Linked DNA regions of Caenorhabditis elegans. The protein of the gene in region 2 interacts with the protein of the main gene of each other region in a pairwise test. Each region holds a gene or a part of one and is shown on either strand. Other genes may lie near its edges. The genes, in order: gpa-13 and nhr-114.

Region 1 (4,933 bases), 8.6 Mb from region 2:
GAAAGAGCATAGACTGGAGTCCATTTTTTTGGCATTGAGGCAATGGTTCCATTACCGAAAACCCACTGAAATTATTTTTTGAAATTATGTATCCAAGATGTACAGTTCCAAAAATGACTTTTTTTCCGAAACTGTTTTGTCCTTCAATACAAAGAGCTAGCTAAATTTTCCAAAAAGTATTTTTCATAATTTTCAAACAACTAATTCGCATTACACCTGAGCTACAATTTAACTGATAAAACAGGATTCTGTGAAGTTTTTTAAAAGTTTTGAAGAAATGTTCTTGTTATGAGTTCTAATATTTCTATTTTTTCAATGTTACACATTATTGGATTTTTCATACCTGACAAGTAGATAGTTTTGGTGAAGCAGCAGCAGCATTCATTCTTCTTGGTTTCTTTTCTACTGGCACTACAGCTTCAGTGAAAAAAAGAATGACAATAGAAGTTAATGATATCATTATTCGCAATACTAGGAACTGCTGATTTCTTTTTAGCAAAAATAATTTTCACTTAAATAAACTTAATGTTAAAGAAGATACCATCGGCATTTACAAAGTGTGTATAATTAAAAGGCGCAGAGAGATATTAAGATTTAGACCGGTATGTTATTAGCATATCTAATCAATCGTCTTTCTTTTTTCAAGAAACACTGTGAAAAACCAAAGAATAAATCTTTCTCTTTCACTTTTTTGCAACGTTTTCCTTTCGTTTATTGGGTGACAACATAAGTGTTGACAAGTGTGGGAATTAAATAAAATTACATGTGATGAATTGATTGGATTTCAATTAAAAATATAAATTAAATATTATACAAACAGTAGTTATTTCTTTCTTTTTGCAATATCTTTAAACACAGTTGATAACAATTCGGCCATCATTTGTGTGTCAATTGCAATACATCGATAGACACGGTATAGGGACCTGTCACGTTTACCAAGAGCTTCGCATGCAAGATTTTCCATAAAGTCTATTGCATCATCTTGATCACCACCTGAAACAGAAGGTAAGGCACTTATATAAATAATTTAACTTGATTTCAACACCAATTTTATATGAGACTCTCCGTAATATCCTTACCTTTAAAATCCGGTTTATACTTTGATAATGGAATGACGCTGAGTTTTTCACAGAAAACATCAATTTCATTCAAAAACAAATAGATTGGAGTTGTTGCAAACGCTGGGTCTTCACTGATTGATTGCAACAAATTCAGAGCGTCATCTAATCGATTCTAAAATTAATAATTTATAGATTCCTCTTACGAAGTTTGAAATTACCGTAACCATATCCTCGCTCATCACTTGATCATATTCAGAAATTGCGATGCAAAAGAATATTGCATCAATCCCTTCATATTGTAAAGCCCACTTCCGTCTATCAATTTTCTGTCCACCAATATCAAATAATCTGTAACTTTTTTTTTGATTTCCGCTTCAATTCCTCAAAGGAAAATGTGACTCACTGAAAAGATTGATTACAAGCAGTAAATATGACATTTTGAACACCACAAGTTGGAACATAAGCCATGATGAGATCTCTTTCAGACGGCTTATAATCCACCATATTTATCTTATCGATATTGTTAAGAAAACTGCAATTAAAAATGGTAATCTTCTGGATGAAAAGGATTAGTTTCAAAAAGTCTGGAAATTATTCTTGCACTTGTGAAAAGCGCAAAATTTTGCTCTTATGATCATAAATGTTCTGAATTCGAAAGACAGGGAAATGCAACTCACTAAGATGCTGAATCATTCAAATTAAATTGACTCCGTCGAGCGTAAAGTTTTTGCATAGATTTGTCATTCCAAATGTGTTTTATCTTTTCAGCCAAATCTTTTGAGAATAAACCATAATGACCATGTTCATCAGCTATTATGGATTGAGCACGACCCTGCAAATATATAGATGAGTTTTTCGTAATTTCTTTTAGGTTTCAATATTATAGTTCAAGTTCCCTCATTTTTAGAAATTGATAAACGGTCACGAAGACCAACTTATTTACCAATTTACGAAAAAAAAAGCTTCGATGTACCGTATTTTTCCTATTATATTTGCGCCCTCCTTTGTTTTACTTTAACGGCTCATATCTTGGTTGTTTTAAGTCTTATCCACAAAAAAATTACTGTGAAAATGTAGAAAAATATTTTTCAGGTATTATGTCAGTTCACAATTTTTTGTTAAAACAAAATCCAACTGAGATATGATCTGTCAAAGTAGAATAATACTGAATATAAATTTAATTCCAAATTCTTTTTAAAATAATAATACCATATTGATTGGGTCTGCAAATTGAATATCGGACATTCTCATGGCACGACATAACGCTTTGATACTTTTGAAAATATTGTGATAGATGAATGCACGTCGATGAAAATATTCAGACTCTGTGAAATGTTGTTTATAGAGCAACCGGACTTGCTCCAAAACGGTTGTTTTTCCGCTTTCTGCGGATCCTGAAATGAATAGAATTGGATTAAAATGGAATTGAAAATGAATACAAATTTACCGAGAAGAAGTAGTCTAATATGGCTGTATGGATCTTCCGATTTCTGAGAAGCGGGAGTAATTGAACGAGATGCACGAATTTCGGGAACTTGGAGCTGAAAATAGACATGAATTGAATTGAGGTGATCTCAAAAAATTGATTATAATAACGGTGGCCTCCTATAATTGCTTCAAAATACATACCGCAACTTGTGGAGAAATAGATGGTGGTGGAACAGGTGTAGATTCCTTTTTTTCAACAACTTCTTTTTCCGCTGAATGCTCAATTGGCTCAATGTTCTCTTCTTTTCCTATCACATCAGGTTCCGGTATTGGTTTGTCACAAGCAGCCGGAACATCAGACACCTGAACCAATTAAGTTTTGACAACAACAAAAAAAAACAAAAAAAGTTAAATTACTAAAATCCAAAAAGCTTACCTTACTTTGAGAAGAAAAGTTGCAACCCATTGCAATTGCTCACCACATTTCCTAAACTGATAAAGCTGAAAATTGGCATTCATTCTATTACAATAATTTATTTTTTTTTAACAAAAAAAAAACGAATTCTGATGAAAAAGAAAAACGAAGAAGTGCCTGAAAAAAGATGAATAGGAACGCAATTCCACCCGATTTCCTTCCTTTCATCGTCGCGGATATATTTTTCATACAAATGGAAAAGAGCAGAAAAATAAAAGAAAGAGAGTCAGTCAGTAAGCCAAGGAATATAATACCTGGTCGATTGGATGAAATCCACGTACTTTGAGGAAATAAAAACCACTACCGCTTTTGGTTTTTTCAGAAACTTTAGTTGAATTGGGAAGTGTGTAAAAAGAGATCGGTTGGATCAGAAAATATTATTCGTTTCAAGATTACATACAATCCAAACTTAGTCAACATACGTATGAAAAATCAAACCACGAAATATTTTTCCATGTCATTTCATACATGAATGACTGCAAGAATACTAATGTCTTAAAAGTGAATATTTTTTAGTCTTTTTCAAACTTAGTTTATCAAAAATATTTGTAAAAGTTACAAATTTTTTCAATAACGCGACAAGTACAGTTTCCCTCCTTTCATGTTTATTCTTGGACAAAAAAAACTTCCCCAAGTTTGGTTATGATTATGAACGCGTGCAAGTTTTCTGAGTTTGTCTAGTTGTATAAATTTGCTTTAACTGCAAACCAGGGGTGTGCGGCAAATCTCAAAATTTGCGGAGCTCGGCAAATTCGGCAAATCTCTTTTTTCAATATTTGCCGAGCACGGCAAATTCGGCAAATTTGCCGAGCTCGGCAAACGGCAAATTCGGCAAATTCGGCAAATTTGCCGCACACCCCTGCTGCAAACCACCAATTATCGCTTCTTAATTGAATTCCTATTATAATTAAAATTTAAATTCAAGCCAAGTGGCCAACAAACCTAGAAATTAATGACGAATTCAGCTTCACTGACAGCTGATCTCAGTTTGAAATTATTTTTACTAAGCTTCAGAAAGATACCATACAATTGAGTTATTTTTGAACACCATTGTTGAACGTACTGCTAAAATCTGTGCTCAAATACATATGTGTATTTAAGCAATATCATAAGCAATATCAGAATTCGTTCAGTTAGTATTAATTGCAGAGATTTGAGTTTAAAAATCTAAAATCTAAAATATCGGGTATATAGTTCTTCCATTCCGCCCATATTTAAATACAAAATTTTGTAAGGGATTATCTGTATACGGTAGTTCTCCTTTGCGAAGATACATATTTTGCAGTCACTGCTTCAAATTTTCATTCCAATCACACTTTAGAATAAAATGTTTCTATAAGCAAATGACATGTTTTATAAAGTCAATAAATATTTAATGATATGGTTTGAAAATTGACATGAGAGACGTAGAACGGAGTGTGAGCTGAAAAGAAAAAAGTGAAAAAGCATAGCACCCCAGTGGGCTCACTCTATCACATAAATCAATGTGGCTCGTGAGAAAGAAAACGAGATTAGATGTCGTCGTCTCAATGGAAGAAATTGGAGGAAAAAGGTTGACGAATTCAGAAGGTATCTTTAGAGATTAGATTAATTCACAAGCAGTTGGGTTAGATTTTACAAGATTAATTTCTGTGAGTCAGTATATGAAAAATTTGAGACGAGATGGTTAATCCTCCCGAAGGAACTTGTTAAATTTTGATGCTTGATATGAATTTTTTTAATAATTCAAATCAAAACGAGTATCGTATATCGTATATCGTAGATTAGAACATGAAAACGCCACTTTTTATTGGCACCTGTAAATAAACGGTGCCAACCTGAAAAGTCTAAAACATCTGCCAAATATTTCCAATGAAGCTTTCCAACTAGACGTTTAGATTAGTCAGAATTGTTGATCAAACTTTTATATTATTTGATCCAATTTGTTTAGATCCCTGCAAATTATATCTAAATGCAATCAAAAGAGGAA
Region 2 (5,440 bases):
TTTGTTTTAAAAAGTTGCACGTGGGGTCAGAAAGTCCCATTTCGCTTTGATCTACAAAAAATGCGGGAGGTGAGACGCAGACATCTCAACTGATTTCGCATGGTTAAGAGTGTGCTGACGTCACAATTTTTCTGGGAAAAAAATCGCGCATTTTTTGTAGATCAAACCGCAATGAGACTTTCTGACACTACGTGAAGTTGGATTTTTGCAATCTTCCGCGATTTTTTTTTCATTTTGTTTGTGATTTTTTAAAGAAATTTAGGACAATTTTGGATTTTTGCAAAAAGTCGCTTTGAAGTCTGAATAAAAGCATTTTCGGCGTATCCTGCGCGCATGGGTCTCGCCACGCTGACATCGAAAAAAAAAATTCTGAGAATGCTGCGTATTGTGCAACACATTTGCCGCGCAAAATATCTCGCAGCGAAAAAGAAAACTACAGTAATCGTTTAAATGGCTACTGTAGTGCTTTTGTGTCGATTTACGGGAGATCGATTCTTTAATTAAATTCTTCTTTTCAAATATTACCGGTACAGAGAGTGTAGATAGTTGAATGGACACAGACATTCCGGAACCCAAGGGGCGGGGCGCGGGAAGAGACGATTTTTGTCGATTTACGGAGTGTTTTTATTCACAAACTCTCCGTAAATCCATACAAATCGGCTCTTCCCGCAACCTTGGGTTCCGGAATATCTGTGTCCATTCAACTTTCCTCATTCTCTGGACCGGCAATATTCGAAAAGAAGAATTCATTTCAAAAATCGAGCTCGTAAATCGACACAGAAGCACTACAGAAGTCATTTAAACGATTACTGTAGTCTTCTTTTTCGCTACGAGATGTTTTGCGCGTCAAATATGTTATGCAATACGCATTCTCAGAATTTTTTGTACAAATATTGATGTTTTTATTTTAATCATAAGATGGTTAAATTTACCAACAACTAATTCTTAAATTGATTAGCACTTATCAGTGTCTTATCAGCAATCAAATGACCAAAACATCTAATAGGACGAATTTTCGCCTATTTCTCAGCAACTAACAATGCAACTTTCTCATTCTTCATGTCTCCTGTATCATAGACAAATTGATTAGCTCACGTAGTGCCAGACGGTCCCATTACGGTTTGATCTACAAAAAATGCGGAAATTTTCGCCCAAAAAAATGTGTGACGTCAGTACGTTTTTAACCATCCGAAAACAGTTGAGAACTCTGCGTTTCTTCTCACCCGCATTTTTTGTAGATCAACGTAGATCAATCCAAAATGAGACACTCTGCCACCACGTGTAGCTTCTTCTTCTGCTGCTGCTGCTACAGTCTGTGTGTACAAAAGTCTTCTCACATAGTAGGTAGGTGCAGACTTCTTTCTTTATCAAATCTTCCCTTCTTCAACATTACATGGCGTGGTTTTCTCGTGGCATTTTCCAAGAGAGGCTCCACCCCCCCCCCCCCCCCCATCGCATGTACTTTGTTCATTGGTCAAGAAGAATCGTATATAACGGGCAGCGATAACGTCCCAAATCTTTGTCGTATGACGACGGGGACGATCGGAAATTGAGAGGAGGAGGGGGTAGTGTGAAAAATACATGAGGACGCGATGAAGCTGCTGGTCAGCAGCAGGCCCCAAGCCACTGTGTTTTATTGCAAGACAGTTCGATCTTCACGTTGATATCAGACATATATAGAATATACATCTCAAGGTCTTCTATTCTCATTTCTTAGGCAGCCTGTTAATATGTTGATAATGAACAATCATTTGACCGCCCGTTTTTCCGAGTCACTTCATCAAGGACTTGATTTCTTTCCAAAAAAACTTCCAAAACCACCCAGCAAATCATTGTTTCAAAAAAAGTTTGCTCAAATGATTAGAAATCAAAAGTTCAAATGTTTTTTTGCAACAGCTGTCCCTAGCCTGTCTCACATCACAGTTCAATTGTTGTAGTTTACCTCTCCTCTTCTCCTTCATTTTATCTCTAAAACGCATCGATTCGGGGGCACTTTGCATTTGTTATCGTGTCTAGTGTCTCTTGGCATTATTCTCGTTGTCACAAAAAAAACCAATACAAACAAGGCGTATTTCAGGTCAAAATGACACCTCAATCGTCTCCGAGCTCGTCTCGTGATCACGTTTGTCTCGTTTGTCAAGATTTCGCTTCTGGCTACCATTATGGTGTCCCGTCATGTGTCGGATGCAAGACATTTTTCCGGCGAACAATTATGAAGAAACAAAAGTACATTTGCCAATTCGAGGGCAATTGTCCAGTTGATAAAAGTGAGTTATTTAGCACACTTGGTGTCAGGCTGTCCCATTTCGGTTTGATCTACAAGAAATGCGGGGATTTTTCGCCCAAAAAATGTGACGTCAGCACGTTCTTAACCATGCGGAATCAGTTCCGCAATTCTCGTAGATCAAAACGAAATGGGACACTCTGACACCACTTGTTAGCAGTAACAAGGAACTTATAAAAAATATTTCAAAAGTTCAGCTATCCGCTGTGCCTGCCGATACTGCCGATTCGAGAAATGTTTGAGCGTGGGAATGGACCGAAACGCCCTCCAACAAAACCGTGACCCTATCGGATACACAAAACGTACCAGGCGTCCAAAAAAAGAGCTGAAGACTACCTCGGACTGTTCAAGTGACGAAGGAGCAAGCACCCCACCATCAGTGTCTCCATTACAGCTATCGGTAATTAATTAGTCCAATTACGGTTTGATCTACAAAAAATGCGAGAATTTTTTTGCCCAAAAAATGTGTGACGTCAGCACGTTCTCAACCATGCAAAATCAGTTGAGAACTCTGCGTCTCTTTTCCCGCATTTTCTATAGATCTACGTAGATCAAGCCGAAATGAGAAACTCTGACACCACGTGATCCCAAATTACAGCCTCCACCAATCTCGCCACTCCTTTTCCAAGCTGCACCACTGAAACCTCGTCGCTGCATCCTACAAACTCTTGCCGAACGCGAAAAGTGTGCAAATGATCTCCGACTCTCCGAATATCTTCCAATCCGATCTCTCCACGAGGCTCTATGCTCAAAGGCTCTGCTGAACGACACGGCTTTTTTGGAAAAGTGGGGACAGCCGAGTGAGAGACATCAGATCTTCGATCTACGATTCGTCAATCACGACGACTACCACTATTGGCACGAGAGAGACTGGTTCTTGTTGACAGAGTATGCCAAAACATTCGATGTTTTTGAGGCGCTCGATTATCAAGATAAGGTTGGAAGAAAACCAGAAACATGTATAACGATTTAATTATTTCAATCCTTTCCAGGCCGAACTTGTTCGCCATGCCGCAATAACAGTCCCAGTCCTGGTTCAAGTCTGGAACTCCCCGGACTACGGACCAGACACAATTGTATTCCCAGATGGTGCCTACTTCGATCGTACTCCAGAGCCAACCCGGTAAGTTGTCGGTCACATATACTCCAAACCGAGCCCCAATTCCCGTCTCGTTCCGCGTTGTGTTCAATCGTTATAGGCCAGCCGGACTCAACAGGAAAAAGTATCAAATGTTGGATCTCGTGCTCAAGCCGTTCCGTGATCTACAGCTCGACGCAACCGAATTTGCAGCGTTCAAAGCGGTAACGTTTCTGAATCCAGGTCCGGGCGGAATCTCAATAAGAGCCAAACTTTCACTTTGATGCGATTCCAGACGCTGACATCTCTCTACCGGCTCGCAAGCTTGTGAACAACGAACGAGTCCGCATCACCAAGCAGTTATACGGCTACATGGCCATGAAAGACGACGTGGACACGGCAATCGAAAGGTTGGTGAAATCACGTTTTTCCTTCCTTTGATGCATTCATCTATTACTCGCTTGTCGATCAAATCAAACATTGATAGATCACAATTTGATGTGTCTTGTTGCGGACTAGCTAAGTAAGCTAAGTTGGAACACTTTGACCAAAATTTCGGTAAATTCTCTAAATTTTGCTAAATTTTCAAATTTTTGGTAAAATGCTAAAATTTTGGTAAATTCTCAACATTTTGGTAAAATGCTAAAATTTTGGAAAAATTCTCACAATTTTGGGAGGCACCACGGAAACGAGAACATGTGAAAAAGGAGAATTACGAAAAGGAGAACACAAAACCACGCCTATTTATCCGTGCCGAGCGCAAGTTTTTGCATAAACTTGTGCAAATTTTTATTTTCAAACGAGACAACGAAGATCCGAACTAACGAATTCGTGTGATAAACAACACGCGATACGTTCTTTCGGAGCTTCGCGTTATCTCGTTTGAAAATAAAAATTTGCACAAGTTTCTGCAAAAACTTGCGCGCGGCATGGAAAAATGGGCGTGGTTTTGTGTTCTCCTTTTCGTAATTCTCCTTTTTCACATGTTCTCCTTTCGGTGGTGCCTCCAAAAGTTTTGGCAATTTATTAAAAAATTGGCAATTTACCAAAATTTTAAGAATTTACCAAAATTTTGAACATTTCCCAAAATTTAGGCAATTTATCAAAAAATTGGCAATTTATTAAAATTTTGAGAATGTACCAAAAGTTCGGCAATTTACCAAAATTTTTAGCCCCCGGCACTGATAGATCACAATTTCATCCCCGTGTTGCAGATTCGCACGATTGGTTCTGATGGGAACGTCCATGTCAAAAATGGCGTGCGAATCGAAAGAGGCCGTGTGGATTGCAGACTTTTTCGAGAATATCGGCTTCTCGGCGTTTGCCCGGCAACTGTTTTTCGGTGATACGACGAGCGTTGTTGCTCACAAATTGTGAAGTGAATAAATTTAAATTTAATAAATTAATTTCCAGAAATATTTACACGCTTGAAAAAAAATCTCAATGCTAATCCTATTTATATACGTTTATTATTATTTTTTTTTTTTGGTATTTTTTTTGCAATAAAGTTTTAACTTTTTTTTCTTACCGCCTGAATTGGTGCAGCAGCAACAACGGCTTCTCCAAAATCTCCCCACTCATCGTCGTCATCGTCTTCTTCTTTCTGTATTTCCGAATTTTGAAATCCCGTAAATTCGTCCTGTGATAATGCAGTCGTCATCTGAAATTACGGGATTTTTGGGGTAAATTTTTGGCAAAATTAGTTCAATTTTTAGAACATTTTTTGACAAAAAAAATTGATTGCAAATTTTAATTTCAAAATGTTGCATTGCTATTTTAAAGTTGATTGAAGGTTTTTGTTCATAATTCAAAGCAGGGGTCGGGGGCAAACGATTTTTCCGGCAAATCGGCAAACTGACAATTTGTCGAAAATGACATTTTCTGGCAAATCGGCGAAATTGCCGGAATTGAAAATTTCCGGCAAATCGGAACACCGGCAATTTGCCGAAAACGAAAAATTCCGGCAAACCGGCAATTTCCCGAAAACGAAAAATTCCGGCAAACCGGCAATTTCCCGAAAACGAAAAATTCCGGCAAATCGGCAAAACCGGCAATTTTCCACAAATCAAAATTTCCGG

The links.
Region 1: the proteins of nhr-114 (region 2) and gpa-13 interact in binary tests that used the Caenorhabditis elegans proteins (3 or more experiments, as listed by UniProt).

Annotation. Positions count from the first base shown.
Region 1 is NC_003283.11:12,751,939-12,756,871, forward strand, and holds gpa-13 (Guanine nucleotide-binding protein alpha-13 subunit), read right to left. Parts: upstream 3,002-4,933; 5' UTR 2,956-3,001; coding exon 2,926-2,955; intron 2,853-2,925; coding exon 2,691-2,852; intron 2,603-2,690; coding exon 2,509-2,602; intron 2,456-2,508; coding exon 2,271-2,455; intron 1,894-2,270; coding exon 1,739-1,893; intron 1,594-1,738; coding exon 1,465-1,593; intron 1,410-1,464; coding exon 1,280-1,409; intron 1,234-1,279; coding exon 1,080-1,233; intron 994-1,079; coding exon 824-993; 3' UTR 665-823; downstream 1-664. Other genes in the region: C15C8.8 (uncharacterized protein), read right to left, coding at 1-65, 344-460. UniProt on the Caenorhabditis elegans protein: Guanine nucleotide-binding proteins (G proteins) are involved as modulators or transducers in various transmembrane signaling systems.
Region 2 is NC_003283.11:4,185,126-4,190,565, forward strand, and holds nhr-114 (Nuclear hormone receptor 114), read left to right. Parts: upstream 1-2,077; 5' UTR 2,078-2,083; coding exon 2,084-2,267; intron 2,268-2,481; coding exon 2,482-2,684; intron 2,685-2,882; coding exon 2,883-3,221; intron 3,222-3,276; coding exon 3,277-3,407; intron 3,408-3,483; coding exon 3,484-3,605; intron 3,606-3,657; coding exon 3,658-3,772; exon of another isoform or gene 3,773-3,885; intron 3,886-4,576; coding exon 4,577-4,739; 3' UTR 4,740-4,879; downstream 4,880-5,440. Other genes in the region: Y45G5AM.9 (Aftiphilin clathrin-binding box domain-containing protein), read right to left, coding at 4,891-5,022. UniProt on the Caenorhabditis elegans protein: Probable transcription factor which may have a role in detoxifying dietary metabolites arising from bacterial tryptophan metabolism.